Linked DNA regions of Xenopus tropicalis. The protein of the gene in region 1 purifies or fractionates together with the protein of each later gene. This does not show direct contact. Links are inferred from orthologs where the notes say so. Each region holds a gene or a part of one and is shown on either strand. Other genes may lie near its edges.

Evidence for each region. Proteins that work in one complex are often made in the same cells at the same time.
Region 2: the proteins of rab8b (region 1) and gdi2 purify together in Homo sapiens (affinity purification with mass spectrometry; 3 studies listed by BioGRID and IntAct, with this or other methods). This does not show direct contact. The link is inferred for Xenopus tropicalis from reciprocal best matches to the Homo sapiens genes RAB8B and GDI2.
Region 3: the proteins of rab8b (region 1) and gdi1 purify together in Homo sapiens (affinity purification with mass spectrometry; 3 studies listed by BioGRID and IntAct, counting the BioPlex papers as one, with this or other methods). This does not show direct contact. The link is inferred for Xenopus tropicalis from reciprocal best matches to the Homo sapiens genes RAB8B and GDI1.

The regions. Positions count from the first base shown.
Region 1 is NC_030679.2:91,487,020-91,493,406, forward strand, and holds part of rab8b (ras-related protein Rab-8B), read right to left. Parts: intron 5,410-6,387; coding exon 5,349-5,409; intron 5,221-5,348; coding exon 5,160-5,220; intron 4,435-5,159; coding exon 4,357-4,434; intron 3,876-4,356; coding exon 3,786-3,875; intron 3,674-3,785; coding exon 3,608-3,673; intron 2,147-3,607; coding exon 2,096-2,146; intron 1,836-2,095; coding exon 1,743-1,835; 3' UTR 1-1,742. UniProt on the Homo sapiens protein: The small GTPases Rab are key regulators of intracellular membrane trafficking, from the formation of transport vesicles to their fusion with membranes.
Region 2 is NC_030679.2:84,471,711-84,478,097, reverse strand, and holds part of gdi2 (rab GDP dissociation inhibitor beta), read right to left. Parts: intron 6,308-6,387; coding exon 6,109-6,307; intron 5,492-6,108; coding exon 5,360-5,491; intron 4,847-5,359; coding exon 4,747-4,846; intron 2,174-4,746; coding exon 2,002-2,173; intron 331-2,001; coding exon 186-330; intron 1-185. UniProt on the Homo sapiens protein: GDP-dissociation inhibitor preventing the GDP to GTP exchange of most Rab proteins. By keeping these small GTPases in their inactive GDP-bound form regulates intracellular membrane trafficking.
Region 3 is NC_030684.2:155,767-162,153, reverse strand, and holds the end of gdi1 (rab GDP dissociation inhibitor alpha), read right to left. Parts: intron 5,657-6,387; coding exon 5,557-5,656; intron 4,258-5,556; coding exon 4,086-4,257; intron 3,871-4,085; coding exon 3,726-3,870; intron 3,381-3,725; coding exon 3,326-3,380; intron 3,225-3,325; coding exon 3,072-3,224; 3' UTR 1,551-3,071; downstream 1-1,550. UniProt on the Homo sapiens protein: Regulates the GDP/GTP exchange reaction of most Rab proteins by inhibiting the dissociation of GDP from them, and the subsequent binding of GTP to them. Promotes the dissociation of GDP-bound Rab proteins from the membrane and inhibits their activation.

The DNA.
Region 1 (6,387 bases):
TTTCCAAATACAATGTTCAAGAGCAAATATGTATGCTGCAGGTAATGTAATGTCTAACGCAGGGCAGAGGGGAGAGCTCCTACATTAGGACATTCACATTTCATGACAACCAGTGTTGGACTGATCCTCCTATGGCCCACCAGAGAAACTGACATTAAAAGCTCACTCTCACAGAAATTAGATCCATACAGTATTATATCTAATAGGTGTCTTGGGCTTATAGTGGAAATAATAAAAGCTGACTGGCCCTGAAGACAACTACAAGTGGTAGAACATAACATAAAAAATACATTAAAACAAATATAGAAAACACCTAAACCATATGTTTAAAGGGAAAACCTTCAGAGCCAAATGGTAACAAACTGTTCACTTAACCCTATAACCATCTGCAGGTGAATTCTGAACATTAGAAAAGTGTAGTTCAAGCAACTGAGTAAATTACTTCCCTATACTTTCCAATTAATGAATATACTTTAATGTACTTCTCTGTGGGTGGTAGTGAATAACTTCTCTACATGAAGTTAAGTGGCAAACTAAAAAAGAAGCACTATTTTCACAGCTTTAAAGGGCTACATCCATACAACTGCCTCATTACTACATAAAATTCACTAAAAAATATAAATATAAAACCAAGGGATTAAAGTCCAACATGTTTTATGATAACCCTTTCTTTCTATATTTCCTAAAATATGTATATGCTAGAGTTGAAGAGAGAGCAACAGGGTAGCCGCCTGGTATGGGTAATATATTGTACAGGCAATGGAAGATTTAGTCAGCAGTGGTGCAAATGTATGGCATGAGGCCATCAGGTCAACTTACAAAAGCAGAGAAACACAATTTCCTAACATTAGTTCAGAAAAAAACAAAGCTATGTGTTAAAGCAAGATTTCCCTAGCAAATGCACAGTTCAACAACACTGCAAAATACTTAGTATGTAAACACAATATAAATTGAACTGCTCATTCTAGTTTTTGGGTGAATTGCACTGCAGCTATATTTATAAATCAGATTGTTCTTGTATCATATTAAGCCAAGCATAGAGATGGATCCAGTTCAGAGTTTCGCATACCAGTGTAACTCAATTTATAATATGGTACTTCTCCAAGAAAAGACTGATATTACCTAATAAAATGCATCTTCCTGATACATTATTGTGCAGAAGAATAAAAAACCTGTTACAAGCTACACTCCCTACTAAGTGGACCCTGATTTTACTTTCTCCATATTTTCAACAATAAGTTAATACCAATGTCTGTTATGCACTGTCTAACTTTCAGCAGATTATCACATTAAATTTACAGATACTCTCAAATTGAAATACATCCTCTGCTGGTCACCAAATTAAAATAATCCAAAGGTTTACCCCCAAAAGTGACACCCATGGCTTATGACTCAACTTATAGGCATAATACTTATTTGCACTAACAATGCTTAGTCTGTAACGAGGTATAGTGTAAACAAAAAAAAAAAAAGCAAAAAAAGTTATTGAAGGGAAACATCCTTTAAGGACATACAAAAAAGTATTTTTTCACTTTTTCTGGTTGAGTTTCAGATGGACGGAATATGAAGTGCACCCTTCTCTAATAAACTTCCACTCCAGAAACCAATGTGGACAACGCTCTCATATTTAGCACTTCCAGCAAACAGGAGTTCCCCAAAGAGGCCTTTGCAACACCTGTGCTAAGCATGGAGCCGATAGATCAGGTGTGCCACAGTCTGTCTCTCTCTTGTGCTTAAGTTCATCAAAGCAACACACAACGGAAAAAGCTGCTTTTCTTAGAAGACTTCTCAGTTATTTTTACAGGACCTCCTCCACCCGGAGAGATGCTTTCATTCTGGAACATTAGAAAGAGAAGAGTGGGAAGATTATAACTTACAGGAGCATTTTTATTCATAGCTTTCCACAGTTCATAAAGCACTTTTATCTCTGATTTCAACACTATAAATCCACATGGTACAGCATACGTTGTACCCTATACATCAAAGTTAACCTTAGCCTTATAATAAGAAAAAAGTTTTTCCTGGTGTATTGCAAAAGATAAATAACTCCCTATGGTTGCTACACAAACACTGCTTTTGCGAATGTCATACAAACCATTTTTCTGTTGAGTTTTGTCATGATGTCTCTTGCCAGTGTGAAAAAAGCCTGAATAAAAACAAATTATGTTAGGTTTGCATGTTTCAGTACATACACATTAAAAACAGAAAGGGACAGCAAGAGTATGAGTGAGTGTTTGTAATAAAACTCTTCGGGCCCAGGCAAGCAGGATGTTTTGTTGCCCACCTGCATGGGTAACAAAAAGTTAACCTAAAGTTACCTTCCTACCCAAAGAACATAGGCATCACATAGCAGTCTGAACCTGCCTAGCATGGCTCCTTCGGGTCATTATGTGATACATATGTTTTCACAATAGGGGAAGACCCTGCTCACAAAAGCTTACATTCTAAGAGGGAGAGTGATTGAGACAAAAGGTGAGGGTAACCAGTGAGGCAGTAAAGTTCCTGTTGGTTTGTAAAGTGATGGTAAGAGATGAATACCCTTGGGGGTTAAGTGGGTAATCAAGTTGCTGAGGGCTTACATTATTGGCTTTTGGTTTTTATGAAATATTCCGTTTGCTTTGGTTTTCTGTACTCATCCAGTTCTCTAGCAATGAACTGTTTGGCTTGACAGGTAACCTAGTGGTAAGTTTGCCTTGCTTTATTATGTTTAAATACTAATGTATTTCAATAAAGGAGTCTATTTATTTTTTTTGCATATATATATATATTTTATGACTTTATTTGATTAATTTTCCATGTTTTATTATCTAATAAGCAATAATTAGAAAGGTATGATGGGGACAAGCCCAACAGAAGGTTTTCAGTTAGGCTCGCTGTGGCGGTAGGACCTTGCCAGAGCACTGCACAGGTGATTTTAGCAGAGGGAGAAAGGAGGTTCTGTCTCCACGGTGCATTGATAGATACAGATGCTACTACTGTTTGTGCTAGGTGACTTTTTCACAAAAAAAGCCTTTTATTGTAGTGGTTTAAGTTGTCCAAGGGTGGGGTTAAGATAAAATATCACTTTGCATTTTGTGGATAGCATAAGTTTAGACCAAAGCTATCACACTGCAAATTCACTAAAAACATAATTAGATGTGATGTGGGAGGAATTTACGCTGCATTTTTAGTCACCTCCAGCATTTACTAACAGGGAGCATCGGCTAACGCAAAGCTCAATACAGTGGTTTTGGAAAGACAATGCTGCTGGACAGCCAAGACCCACATGCAAATCATGGAGGAGTACATTCATTTTAAAATGGTAGAATTATAAAACCAACTAGCTCTGTTTTATTATCTCTTATATTTTTTAATCAGGTCCAAAAATATGGAGGATATTGGCTCACACAATGGAGCATGTTTACAACTGTTTGGGAAAAAGTATGTATACCAGCAAAATATTGGCACATTACATTCACAATGGTATAATTTTGATTTAAATATGCAATGTCACTGTAAAAAGAGATGTATTTATGCAAACTTTGGCGAGATAGACGAGTAGAAAATTCTCATTTTAGTAAATATGCACCTATGTGCAAAATACACTATTAATCTTGCCTTTACCTACCTCCTCCACATTGATACTGGACTTTGCACTGGTCTCAAGGAACTTGATCCCATAATCAATAGCAAGCTATAATGACAGAGAGAAAAATGAAAAACTTGAAAGTGACGGTCACCCCATTTACAAAGAAGAGCAGCATTGTACCCTGAGTTAGCAGCTTCTACAACACATTTACAATTACCTTTTCTCCTTTTTCTCTTGATACTTGTCTCTTGTCATTCATGTCACATTTATTTCCCAGAATCATCCTTTCTACATCAGAGGAGGCGTGCTGGGGAGATTGTTGAGAACGATGTTAGGAACTAACACTAAGGGGCACATTCACGAAAATGCGAGTTCGAATGGGACAAATTCGGATTGGACACGAAAATTTCTGAAGATCGCAAATATCACGAAAATGCTTACGACAAAAACGTATTAGTCACGAAAATGTCATATTGGCGATCCAAAAGTCATAAAATTTTCGTACCAAACGATTGTAAACAGCGGGAAAACCTTTCCGATTTTCTTGCGCAAGCGTATGAAAAAGTTGCGCAAGACACGGAAAATTCGGCGAATGAACGCTTCGAGCGTTCGTGTCTTAGGAAATGACCCCCTAAGTAAAAATTGGATGGTGAAAGGATTTGTGGCCCCATTGATTTACAACAGAATTTATACTACAGGCATTTGAGATCCCAAAAATACAGGCAAAGGATAAAAACAAAAGTGGAAAAGACTGCAACCACACACACACTTATCCAGCTTACACTTACTTCTTCAATGTTTCTTATCCAATTTTTTATGTTGTCAAATGATTTTTCATTGGTGATATCATAAACCAGCATAATGCCCTGAGGAAGAAAGCAGGAATGTTACTTATATCAATGGTTCGTATTTTACGCTCTAAACAAGGCAAAATTTACTGGAACCTTTATTTGGTAGTAAATCTTGTTTATTCACCCAAAACTTGCCATCAAGTCAGGAATTCAAAACTACCTACCTGGTTTTGGGGCACTGAGAGCAACATCCAAAGGGTTGGTGAGCAACATGTTGCCCCCAAGCCACTGGGGATCACTGCTTTCAACCAAGCTCAACTGTTTTTTTCCATCCTGTTCCTAATGATTTTTCTGGTGTAATAACTGAATGTGTGTTTGACAGGTCAGCTTCATTGGCTAATGCGAAGGATTACTGCATGCTTAATATTACAATTGTTTCATTGTTTGGTTAGTTCTTGAGAAAGCCTTTGCAATTTCATTTTCTCACAGAAGCAGGGCCACCATTACAATGCAACACTGAAAGAGAAACTGCCACATGCAGAGGTATGTTATCTCTATCAGTTACAGCACTGAATAAATCTGCTGGCTCAGACAACTGATAGCATAAAATAAACTGCAAGATAAGTATATACTGTAAGCAAGATACTACTTTTTATACCGGTTTATATTTAATATTATAAGTTAGGAGTGAATAAAGAGGAGGGCATATGTGGTCTGTGGAACATACTAGGCAAATATACTTTTCATGGTATTGAAAATTAATATTGTAATATTAACTAAACAGACTGTTGCATATTTACCATTGCCCCTCTGTAATATGCTGTAGTGATTGTACGGAATCTTTCCTGTCCTGCTGTATCCCTGAAAACAACCATAAAAATAATGTTTAGTGGCCTGAGAGGATTAGGCTCAACAGGAATGTGTGTAGTAAATGTCAATATTTTACTATGTCACCTAAATCAACTCCTTGATCTTACAATTCAACATACCAAATCTGAAGCTTTATCTTCTTGCCATCTAATTCTATAGTTCGGATCTTGAAGTCAATGCCTAAAAATATAGATACGTATAAAATAAAACATTAATTGTACGTGCACTGACCTACGTTATTCTTTTGCTGAGGCAGGAAATGGCTGCGTGCGTCACAGCCTGCAAAGAGACAAGAGACCACTTCCTGCAGTCCCAAACACATTAACCTGCTAGTATAATCTTCTCTACAAAAAAAAAAACACCCATTTAATAGGATAATTTGTATCACAGATCCATGGCATACTTTATGGCTCCTTCCATTATAATTATGCAAATATGTACGCATATTTAATAATTTCAAACAAGCCAAAAGTTTGCTTTTGGCCTAATAACTAGTAGTTATTTATAGGTCAGTTGTTTGAAAGAAAAAAAAAAGCAGTGGGGTAAAAATGTTGTCATATTATGTTTTGGGCTTCTCTACCAGTCCGAGGCAACCAATGTCCTTTAGCTGGGAAGATCTGTGCCTCTAAAGATGCCCCCAGTAGCTCCCCATGGGTGTGTGGGGGGTAGAATCGAGTCCAGGGCATGACATAGAAATAATTGTGTATGTATCACTTTGGAGAAGTAGATTTATTCTTAAATATATTGCATGTTCTATTTAATTCCCCTCCCTCTTTCATATAAATGCAACTTCCCCAGAAAGTAATGACATGTTATTTATAAACTATGTGCAAAGTAATTGAATCATTTTTATTTGTATAAATGAAGGTGCCATATGCCACATTTTGAAAGGTGATTCAATTAAAAGGAGAGATTACCAGAACTCTGTTATATTTATGTTCCTACTGTGATTTTATTATATGGGAGAGGGGTTCATTTACCTTGACGGCTAAGTATAAGTCGATGCAAAGGGGAAAATTTATCCAGAAGCTCTAATGGAAGAGTGAACCATTTTTTGGCCAATTCTTCATTAGAATTGTGGATTTATGATTGAATACCATGTTCTACTCACCAGGAAAAGCCTGTATAGCTTTATATAATTTGTGAGTATAAAAAATG
Region 2 (6,387 bases), about 7.0 Mb from region 1:
ACTGTAAGCAACTAGCATTAGATTGCAAGCTTTTGAGAGCAGGGCACTTTGAAACCCTTGTTTGCTAAATTATTGTAAGATCAATGATGGCTATAAATCTATAGTCTGTATTCACCCACAGCTACCTATTCACCTAATATGCTTACAATGCATAGCAGAACATGTCATAAAACAGACCAACTTACTTTTGCTCGATGGGCTCCAGGAGTTCCAGAACAGGCTTGATCTCTCTCTCTGGGTCATTCGTTTCAACAGTAGTGCTGACTATTGCAATATATTTTCCTTGTGCAGCCACATTGTGAGCATATGAGATCATGCACACATAGATGTCTTGTGCAAGAAAAAAAGCAAATAAATGCACATGCATTATTGAAAATTAACTGGAAAAAAATCATTGCAACAGGTTTGCTTTTGCCTGTATAATAAGGTAACAATACACTCTATATTTACATCTGGCATTTTTTCTGCAAGCTGTACTTGTCAGTGCAGTTTTACAGAGGTGCTTAAAGGAACAGTAACATCAAAAAATTAAAGTGTTTTAAAGTAATTAAAATATAATGTGCTGTTGCTCTGCAAAAATCTGGTGTTTTGCTTCAGAAAAGCTACTATATAAATAAGCTGCTGTGTAGCCATTGAAGCTGGAGAAAAGGCACAGGTTACATAGCAGATAACAGATAAACCCTCATTATATGGGGCTTATCTACTAGTTATCTGCTTAGTAACCTGTGCCTTTTCTCCTTTGAATGGCTGCCCCCATGGCTACACAGCAGCTAACTTATATAAACTATAGTAGTCTTTCTGAGGCAAACACACCAGTTGTAGCAATGCAGGGCAACAGTACATTATATTGTAATTACTTTTATACACTTTCACTTTTTGGTGTTACTGTTCCTTTAAGGAAGTGAACACAGGCTGAAAGCAGCGGAGCAAATGCTCGGTGTGCCCTCAGCTTTAGAAAGCTGGGCTACTGGTACCTGTACTTATCTGTCCAACTATAGTCACATGCAGAGAGCACACAAACAAGTGCAACACTGATTAGCATCTCAATGATTTTGCCTGGATGTGCTTTGGGGGGTGAATTTGTTGCCTAAATATACTTCCCACTAAACCAAAATCCATGCCATAAAAAATAAAAGGTAACAATACATCTGCCAAATTTCATGCAAGGAATGTAACACTAATAGAGTGTACTCTCTGCTAAGTACTGTGCTCAATTCACTTCCTGTTGTGCCCTGCTCTCTCTGTTTCTCTCTGTATTCTGCTTTCAATTTTGTCAAACAGTAAAATCTATTAACTTATCAACTTGCTTCAATGCAAGGCATTTGTACTTCAGTCTCCTACATTACACCTTTATCTATAACCAGTGGCAGAGAAGGCCTACCTGGTTGATACCTCTGACAAGGTATATCTGATAAGATATCTTAAAAAGATGATGACTTTTCCCAAACCAAAGTTGTATACACACAGACTACTGCCAAAGAAGAAACATCTATTTTGGGCATGAAACCATCAGTATCTAAACTTTCTAAATTGGGGACCTTTCCCTGGGAAATGTTAATCCATCATAGTTTAGCCTAAGAAATCGCTCATTTTTCCTCTATCAACTTTGCAACAAATCTACACAATGTAAATATTAACATGGAGTTATAAAAGAAATGAGGCATAATATATACTGGCATTGTAAAAAAAAAAAATTTTTAGTAGGCCCTGTAGTGTCTCTGCTGCTTCCTCTTCCTTCTCTGCCTGCTTAACTCCGGTGTTAGTTCTATAGCTCATTTTAATCATTTTGTGAAACTCACATGTTTTTGTTCTTACAGTCTTCTGATGTGATTACATTATAAATCAGTGCAACACACTTCGCCCCCCATACACATATTATAAGCCCCTTAGTGCCTCTGTCCTTCCCTGGCCTGTAATTCTTCTCTCTGTCCTCATTTCCCCCTGCCTGCTTCTCTCTGGTGCAACATATTTCAAAATTTACCTACTTCTTGTGAAACTCACCAGATTTTCTGTTGACTTGATTCTGTGGAATGATAATCTGACAAGAATTGGCATCGTTCGTGTTCTTTATTGGATGGCTCAGAATACAAATTACACGGATGACCTGTCCTACTTTAGTGACCCGATCTGAAACGTAACTTGGATCACATATCAGCTGCTTGCATCGTGCCACCTGCAAAATCAAAAAAGCCCTTGTGAAACAATTTTTTCAAATTTGATGGTGTTTTTTTTTACCTCCAGTGTAGGACACCCATGGGTGCAAAACCTATATATGGGTTGGAGGGAGGAGACATTTATTGGGGTACCATGGATTCTATATGCAATATTTTTTATAAACATTATGTGGATGATCTTTTGCTTGCATGGCAGGGATCTGAGATTGATTTTTGGGATTTTGTAAATTCTCTGAATAATAACACTTTGAATTTGAGCTTCACCAGCAAGTTTAATAGAACTTACATTTTCTTTTTGGATTTAAAGTTGTCTCTGATTTTAGGGTTGAAACTATATTTAGGAAGGCCTGTGCTGGTAATTTACTCGTAAGGGCTGATTCTGTCATCCCAGCCTTTTGTTTAGAGGGATCCCTTTAGGACAATTCTACAGGATACGGAGAAATTGTAGTACCATGGAGGCCTACATTGAACAGGCCTGTCTCTTGCGAGATAGGTTTATGGATCGTGGCTACAAAATGAGGTCTCTTTCAGCAGCCTTTACTAAGGCATAACAAACTGATAGAATGGAATTGCTTAAAAACATAGATAAAAGTAATAATCAAAATATAAATAATAATAAGATTTGTAGAAACACCGATTTTTGTTACTACATATAGCAATCAGTTTTATAGGATTAGGAGGATCTTCAATAGCCTTATACCTGTTCTTTACAATGATCCCCTTATAGCGACAATTTTGCAAGGGGGATATAAGTTTGTAGCACGTAAAGCTCTAACTTTGGGTAATGTTCTCTCTGGCACACTATGGAAGTCACACCCAACTAGAACTACGTGGTTAGCGACTACAGGGCGTATCCCTGGGGCGCACGTATACATTTCACTTGTGCCTATATAAAACAGTCTACTTCTTTCCAGAGTTCAGTGACAGGCAGATATTTTAACATGCGTATGTATGCAAATTGCAACACACAGTATTTTGTGTATCTTTTGACCTGCTCGCATTGTAATATCCAATACGTTGGCTGCATGATCCGGACTTTAAAAAGCAGGATGTGTGAACACGTTAGACACATAGTAACAGTCCTATATCTTGACACTTTATACAATGTTGTGAGGTCAATGTACCTTTAGACAACGGTGAGCTCTTTATAAATGCTGAACTGATTTGCTTGTTGGTGACTCTTCTGCTTGCCATTCATTTAGGAGACAGACCCGGGGTATTGACGGCCGGGTCTCCACTATACATTTGGTACGATGTTTCGCTTTTGGCATTAGCAGACTCGTTTACTGATTTATATCTAATTTAATTTTGTGCAAATATTTTGTGTTTCTTTAATTCTGAGTCTTGTGAAACCAATGTCAAGCTTACTTTTTACACATCTCCATGAAATGCCTTTAACTCTCAATGAAGAGTACAGATGTGAATCCTTAAAAAACATACAAAACTGTAGGAAGCCAGACCAAAGTCATAATACAACGGTTCAAATTAGGCTGTGTATATCTCACATATTTAAGGTAGAGCTACAATGGTATTATTTGTAATTTTAGAAAAAAATGCACATTTTTCCCCAGATGTGAACTCTCTACTTGGCAATTGAAACACTGTTTTCTTTCTTCTGTAGAAAGATATGGCAGAAGCATTCGGAAAGCTAACAGTAGCGTTCTGACCCGAGCTGATGTCAGATCTTGCCCATATTTGTGCAACAAGCAGGGCGTTTGTCTGCAAGCGTTACTACAGCCCACATATGCCAAGAAATCCAATGCAGCACCCACAGCAGAGGAGGAGAGAATTGCATATTGAGAGGGGAAGCCCTTTACATATTTAAAACATTCACAGTCCTTGGTTTAGTTTAAAGTAAATTATAAGGCAAAAACAGTGTATGCAGTTTATTTGCTACAGCAAATACAAATAGCTAGATACAACTTTACAGTGCTTGCCGTTATCATAACCAATCCATGCAAAAAAATTGCAAAATAGGGCAGAAAGCACTATTTAAAGCTAAATGCATAACCTTATGACTTCATGACTCTCACATGTCCGTTAGATGCCAGATCTAACAGATAAGCTGCATAGTTTCCCATTGTATTCTACAGAGTAGAGTCCTGCATTAGGTCACTTTCGTTCAGCACAATGCTTAGGGGCAGATTCATCAATCAATAGAGCTCAATACATCACACCTATGGGATTTTTTAAAAGCATATTTATCAATAATTGAAAGTTAGAGTTGAACTGAAATTTAGAAAATCCCAAAAGGAAAAAAAAAATAGAACGTGGGTGAGTTTTTATGTAAACTCACATTTTAATAAAGCTGCCCCTTACTGTGTTGGAGCACAGTAAGTAACCTGTGCAGTTTCAGGGTCCAGAATTTAAACAAGCTGACCAATACCTAAGGTCAATAAACAATAAAGGCTTCATATACTTAACAGAACATTTTAGGTAATCTTCTACAATCCCTTTGTTTTCATCAATATAGGATAAAATAATGTACTCCCATTATTACGGTTACCAGAGAATTGCTAACACCTGCACAGAAACATGGCAAAAGTAATAACATAAATGCATAACAACGTACCTCCCCTTCTGATTTCACACCAACAATTTTGCCATTCTCCATCACCAGCTCTTCTATTGGTTTGTTCAACATATATGTCCCACCATAAATGGCACTCAGTCTGGAAAACAGAATGAGGGACTTAATGAAGGGCAATAACAGGTAGGCAAACTACAATCTAATTTTCCAGCCCATTACCAGCTTTTTATTTTTTAAAGGAAAACCATACAGGACAAGATTGACAGTCAAAGATGGTTAGGGTCTCTTCATAAAGGTTTACAGTCTACAGAATGTCAGGTAGAAAAATAATGTGAACTTTGGAACAAAAATGATAGCATAATATAATGGATATGAACAAAGGAAATGTTAGGCCATAGGGTATAGCAGTGTAAAACACAGGATGTGTGCTGAATCTAAAATGCAAAGGGTAATATTTATACAGTCTATTAACAAAAGCTGCTTACAGGCACAATCCGCTCCATGTAAGGGGGAAAAAAATTGGAAAATTCAAGTATTATTAGCAGGTAAAACATCAGTAAATATTCTGTTTTTACAGTCTGTAACTGAAAACAAATTTTTATCTATTTTAAGATGAATCTCGAGATTGATAAGATAATGGGTCTCAATGTCTTACCTTGCAAAACCTTGTGGCAGCTCTCCAAGGCCATAAAGTGGATAAAGGTAAGGGCTTTTGCCATATCGAGCAAGAGATTCACTATACAATTTAATCCGGTTTATTGTCTCAAGACAGGGCTGGTCCAGATATCTAGAGAAAAACAGGAATTGTGGTATTACTCAAGAGGACAAAAGATTTGTTGTCTAGGAAGAATTGTCAGAATTTTGCACAAGACATGTCCTCATATTAAAAAAAAAAACCCTGCCTGACAAACAGCCTGACCAAGAATTTTGAAAATAAATAACAAGGAATCACATTTTGTCAAGAGATTAAACAGGTGCTCAGGCCTTGAATGTCCACTTTTTTCTCTGAGGATCAGATCCTCTAAAGCAGAGGTTTTAAAACATTTTAGGATCAAGACCTCTGTTAAGCAGTAGTGATTTGGCCCCCATTCATTTAGTGAGGTTACAGATGATGTAAAAATATGTTTGTAACAAGGCACATTGTTAAAGTGCCAGAGATATCCACTATATTTACCCCTAACAAGCCTATATATGCTAGCCTCCCCACACCCCCACATTTTAATCACCTAAAGTAAGAGTGTGAGGCAGACCCAAAGTATGGAAATTACTACTATAGAAATATATAGAAATTTGTACTCTATGTGCTGCAAATTGTTGGCTGAGTTTTTATATAAAGTTCAAAATGTACATAGGAAATGCAGACAGATTATATTGTATTAAATAAAATGAATAAAACTAACTTACTCATCAGTCCTATAGAGTGCTAGAGCGTGACCTGTAAAGTCAATTACATCCTGGCCCAAATCAAACTTCTTGTAGACATCTCGCATTGTTGTTTTCTTTGGGTCAACACATTCTAGTGTCTTGGAATCATTCTCATCAAAGTTGGCAACATAACTTAGAAATTTCTTAAACCGCCGCTTTTCAAACATGCCCATTAGACCTTAAAACAAAAATGACAATCAGACACAGGCAATTTACAAAAGCAGCTGAAGCCCTGATAACCTTCAACCTTCTATGGGC
Region 3 (6,387 bases), on another chromosome or scaffold:
CAGAAGTAGGATGGGGGTGTAGGGCAGAAGTAATATGGGGGGTGTAGGGCAGAAGTAATATGGGGGGTGTAGGGCAGTATTACAATGGGGGGGTACTTAAATCTATGTGTGCATAAGGTGTCACTCTGTACATTTCTTTGCCTTTATTGCCCCAAGCTGATCACATGACAGTACTGGGACAATACTTAGTGTTTGGAGACCTGGATGTGCGTCCTGCTGCTCTCAGCGCCGGGTAAACACTGCTGTTTGCTCTCCTCCCCCTGCGGCTCCCACACGTTCTACTCTCCCACTCCAGCCGGTTCTGCCCACGGCCCAGTACAGCACTCCCTTCCCACAGTGCAACCCAAACTGCACATCATGTGATTATTGTCTTACCCTAAAATCCAATGGTGCACCCCTGCTTTAGGTACCTAGAGAGCCAGCTCCTCATCCACACCTTGCACCCTGCCCCTGAACAGCACCGGTACCACGGACTCACACCTACACCTCCCCACTGTCTGAGCAGCGGCTGTTCATACAAAGGACAGACCCACTCATTCTGCCCCTGAACAGCACCGGTACCACAGACTCACACCTACACCTCCCCACTGTCTGAGCAGCGGCTGTTCATACAAAGGACAGACCCACTCATTCTGCCCCTGAACAGCACCGGTACCACGGACTCACACCTACACCTCCCCACTGTCTGAGCAGCGGCTGTTCATACAAAGGACAGACCCACTCATTCTGCCCCTGAACAGGACCGGTACCACGGACTCACACCTACACCTCCCCACTGTCTGAGCAGCGGCTGTTCATACAAAGGACAGTCCCACTCATTCTGCCCCTGAACAGGACCGGTACCACGGACTCACACCTACACCTCCCCACTGTCTGAGCAGCGGCTGTTCATACAAAGGACAGACCCACTCATTCTGCCCCTGAACAGCACCGGTACCACGGACTCACACCCACACCTCCCCACTGTCTGAGCAGCGGCTGTTCATACAAAGGACAGACCCACTCATTCTGCCCCTGAACAGCACCGGTACCACGGACTCACACCTACACCTCCCCACTGTCTGAGCAGCGGCTGTTCATACAAAGGACAGACCCACTCATTCTGCCCCTGAACAGGACCGGTACCACGGACTCACACCTACACCTCCCCACTGTCTGAGCAGCGGCTGTTCATACAAAGGACAGACCCACTCATTCTGCCCCTGAACAGCACCGGTACCACGGACTCACACCTACACCTCCCCACTGTCTGAGCAGCGGCTGTTCATACAAAGGACAGACCCACTCATTCTGCCCCTGAACAGCACCGGTACCACGGACTCACACCTACACCTCCCCACTGTCTGAGCAGCGGCTGTTCATACAAAGGACAGACCCACTCATTCTGCCCCTGAACAGGACCGGTACCACGGACTCACACCTACACCTCCCCACTGTCTGAGCAGCGGCTGTTCATACAAAGGACAGACCCACTCATTCTGCCACATATCAGGACCGGTACCACGGACTCTCACACGTTATGGGACAGATGTACAGAGAATGACATGACACAGAGTTTCCATTTTGTAATATGTTGTGATTCAGCCAAATACAGGAATGAAGGTGAAACTGTGAGACCCTCGGGGGGGGGGACAATGCAGAGAGCGGAATATTATCAGAGAGGAAAGAACCAGAACACAGAAAGTTCTAGAGAATGCAAACTGGGCTACAATGTCTGATACTCTGTTCCTCCATTCCTGGGTTCCATGTAACCGGCTTTCCCATTTCACCATTTCTATCTCTCTAATAAATTAACTTAATAAATTACTAACAGGGAAAAGGGATCTCAGTTTAACTTTTTAAGTCACGATTAACAACAAAAAGGGTTAATATGAGATAGTGTTCTCTGCCAGTCTGTGGGCATTGGGCACAGAGCTGGCATACAGGAATCAGGGGCCTACCTGACTCATTATTATATAGTGTTCTCTGCCAGTCTGTGGGCATGGGACAAACAGCTGGCATACAGGAATGAGGGGCCTACCTGACTCATTATTATATAGTGTTCTCTGCCAGTCTGTGGGAATGGGACAAACAGCTGGCATACAGGAATGAGGGGCCTACCTGACTCATTATTATATAGTGTTCTCTGCCAGTCTGTGGGCATGGGACAAACAGCTGGCATACAGGAATGAGGGGCCTACCTGACTCATTATTATATAGTGTTCTCTGCCAGTCTGTGGGCATGGGACAAACAGCTGGCATACAGGAATGAGGGGCCTACCTGACTCATTATTATATAGTGTTCTCTGCCAGTCTGTGGGCATGGGACAAACAGCTGGCATACAGGAATGAGGGGCCTACCTGACTCATTATTATATAGTGTTCTCTGCCAGTCTGTGGGCATGGGACAAACAGCTGGCATACAGGAATGAGGGGCCTACCTGACTCATTATTATATAGTGTTCTCTGCCAGTCTGTGGGCATGGGACAAACAGCTGGCATACAGGAATGAGGGGCCTACCTGACTCATTATTATATAGTGTTCTCTGCCAGTCTGTGGGCATGGGACAAACAGCTGGCATATGGGAATGAGGGGCCTACCTGACTCATTATTATATATAGCTTTCTCTGCCAGTCTGTGGGCACAGGGCAAAGAAGATGCTGAGGAATGGGCTCGGGGCACAGGCATGGGTGAGAGTAAGCAGCTTCATTTCTCAGACACATCTTTTTGCGATGCCAGTGCTACAGAGTGCCAGCATTAGGGTTGTGCCAACATCAGGGCTCATAGCAAGGAGCAAGAGGCTTAAGAAGTTAAACTGGGGGTTATGATGACAAAAACAATATGGAAGCTTTCTCTTTCCCTTATAATTGCCCTTGCCCACTCCTACCAGCTGGTGTTTTCTTTATCCTCTGCCCCCCAAAAATGAATTCTTCCTTTCCAGCGCCCCCCCAGCCCAAAGTACATGCCTTCTGCCATTCACCCCATTTCTCCTACTAGCAGAGTTCTCTTGTACCAAACCCCCCCAAACAATCCCCTGTACTGTACCCCCGTCTGTCTCGTCCCCCCAACTGATTGACCCCCCTTCATCTCCTCACTGCTCATCCTCCCCAAAAACATCATTCTGTTTGCGTTTCATGTTCTCAAAGTCAAAGTCTGTGCCCGTCATCCTCTTGTAGATGTCCTTGATGTCATTGCACGTGGTCTCAAAGTGTGTGGTGGCATCATAGGAGCGGGAGCAGAAAACCTACGAGGGAGAGGAAATAGTTAACGTTCCTTCTGCATAGTAACTGGACCTGCTCTGTCAGTACAAAGAGCTGAGCCCAATCCCAGATCCCAAACACTTACTTGGCTTTCTGTCCCATCCTCAATGGATTCAAACAGATCACTAATAGCCACAAACCTGTAATAGGAAACATTGCATGAAATCTCCGGATCTGAGGCCCAGAGGCCAGTTCTGTTAGCGCGATCCATTCATTCACCCTGGGCACAGCACCAATAGCAGCTAAAGTCCCACCCCGAGACCCTGAACAGGTTAATCAGTGTATTGCCCGAAGCTCTCTAATGTCCATTTCATGTGACCAATCCGCGCACTGAGATCCCACACCCCACATGGTACCCCCAAAGGTGTGTCTATTAAACACAAAGGTGTACCCCGCTATTCACGTTATTCTATGCTTCCTACTTGCCAACTGTCCCGCTGTGTGTGCGTATGGCTATATGGACACACAAGGGGTTAAGCACTCACTTCTGATCGATGGGCTCCAAGAGTTCCAGCGCCGGTTCAATCTCTTTCTCCGGCTCCGCCGTCTCCACCGTGGTGCTGACAATTGCAATGTACTTGCCCTGAGCCGCCACGTTGTGTGCGTAGGAGATCATGCACACGTAAATATCTGCAAGGCGAGGGTTAAACATTCACCTGAGCCCCTCACTCTTCCCATGCCCCCCATGCTCGGAAGCCCACAGTGTGCCAACCCAACTCCCCCTCTCATCCCTTCCCCACAGGCACCTTGGCACCCAGACCCAGCGCTCCAGGACAGCTTCATTCTGATTTGCCAGTCTCCCCCAGTCATGTGACTCCATATTACTCCTTAACCCTTTGTCTCACCTGATTTTCTGTTGACCTGGTTCTGGGGGATGATAATTTGGCAGGAATTAGCATCATTCGTATTCTTAATGGGATGGTTCAAGACGCAGATGACGCGGATAACCTGTCCCGCCTTGCGCACCCGATCAGCAACGTAACTGGGGTCACAGATCAGCTGCTTGCACCGCGCCACCTACAGGCACAACAACTCATAAAGATGGCTTCCTCCAATTGTCAGGCTTAGCTGTGCTGGGAACAGACAGTATGGCATGGGTAATGTAGGGCAAGACGGGGACTGATGGAGACAGTAGGGCAAGATGGAGACAGTAGGGCAAGATGGGGACAGTAGGGCAAGATGGAGACAGTAGGGCAAGATGGGGACAGTAGGGCAAGATGGGGACAGTAGGGCAAGATGGGGACAGTAGGGCAAGATGGGGACAGTAGGGCAAGATGGAGACAGTAAGGCAAGATGGAGACAGTAGGGCAAGATGGGGACAGTAAGGCAAGATGGAGACAGTAAGGCAAGATGGAGACAGTAGGGCAAGATGGAGACAGTAGGGCAAGATGGGGACAGTAGGGCAAGATGGAGACAGTAGGGCAAGATGGGGACAGTAGGACAAGATGGGGACAGTAGGACAAGATGGGGACTGTAGGACAAGATGGGGACAGTAGGACAAGATGGGGACAGAAGGACAAGATGGGGACAGAAGGACAAGATGGGGACAGTAGGGCAAGATGGGGACAGTAGGGCAAGATGGAGACAGTAGGGCAAGATGGGTACAGTAGGACAAGATGGGGACAGTAGGACAAGATGGGGACAGTAGGACAAGATGGGGACAGTAGAGCAAGATGGAGACAGCAGGGCAAGATGGAGACAGTAGGGCAAGATGGAGACAGTAGGGCAAGATGGAGAGAGTAAGGCAAGATGGAGACAGCAGGGCAAGATGGAGACAGTAGGGCAAGATGGAGAGAGTAAGGCAAGATTGAGAGAGCAGGGCAAAATGGAGAGAGTAAGGCAAGATTGAGAGAGCAGGGCAAGATGGGGACAGTAGGGCAAGATGGGGACAGTAGGGCAAGATGGGGACAGTAGGGCAAGATGGAGACAGATGCAAAATAAAGACAGTAGGACAAGATGGAGACAGTATGGCAAGATGGAACACAACAGTACAAGATGGAGACAGCTGGGCAAGATGGAGAGAAGATGTAGACAAGTGAGCCAATATGGCACAGACACAGATGACACAGATAGCAGGACAAGATGGAAACAGGATGCAGACATTAGAGGAAGGTGGTGACGGCACTGCAAGATGGCAACAAGGGCAAGACAGATACTTTGAGGCAAAAGCAATGCAGCAGGGCAAGACAATGGCAGTAGAGCTAGATGTGACAGTGAGAAGCCATGGGGACCTGAACCCACTAACAGCCTTGACTGCAACCCTTCTAACAACCCCACTGAAATTCTGACTTACTGAAAATGCCCCTAAAACCTTACCTCTCCCTCTGATTTAACGCCAACCACTCGGCCTTTCTCCATTACAATCTCATCCACGGATTTGTTCAGCATGTAGGTTCCTCCATATATTGCACTTAGCCTACGGCAGAAACACATCAGCCGGGGTATTAGGGTTAGAGTGTACTCTCTGTAATGTACTACTTACCCGTATTGGTCACATGTATGTGTGTAACCCTAACATGTTTCCTTAGATACATGTTTCCTTAGATGTACAGTAATGAACAATAATAAATACAAATAAAAACAAATGCAGTTACATTAGAGATCAAAGAGACAAGAAGATGGAGATCCCTACCCCATAGAGCTAACGATCTAAGTGAACTGCTGCAGGTTACGGTGGGTAAACAGCTATATAAGTTCCAGTTCCCAGATTAGGGGCTGTGCAAGTGCCCCAAGAGGGGGTCTGTGAGTTTCGTTCTGAGGGGGGATTCTCACCGGGAGAATTCAGGGTGCCATTCCCAATGTAAGGGGTAGCAAGGCACAAAGCGTTAAAATGGCAGTAGTAATGGGGTTACAACCAAGCAGCTGCTCTGAGAGGAGCGAAGGAATCGGCCAGGAACGTATAGAGACACAAGAGATGGGGTGAGGGGCAGAGGAGTGGGGGGGAAGGTTATGGGAAGCCATGATAAGGGGAGGGGCCTGTACGCTCTTGGATGAGAGGGGGAGGAGTGTATGGAGACACAAGAGATGGAGTGAGGGGCAGAGGGATGGATATGAGCAGGCCTGGATTTGTGGAGAGGCCATAAAGGCCGAGGACTAGGGCGGCAAGTTCTCTCTATGGAGACACAAGAGATGGAGTGAGGGGCAGAG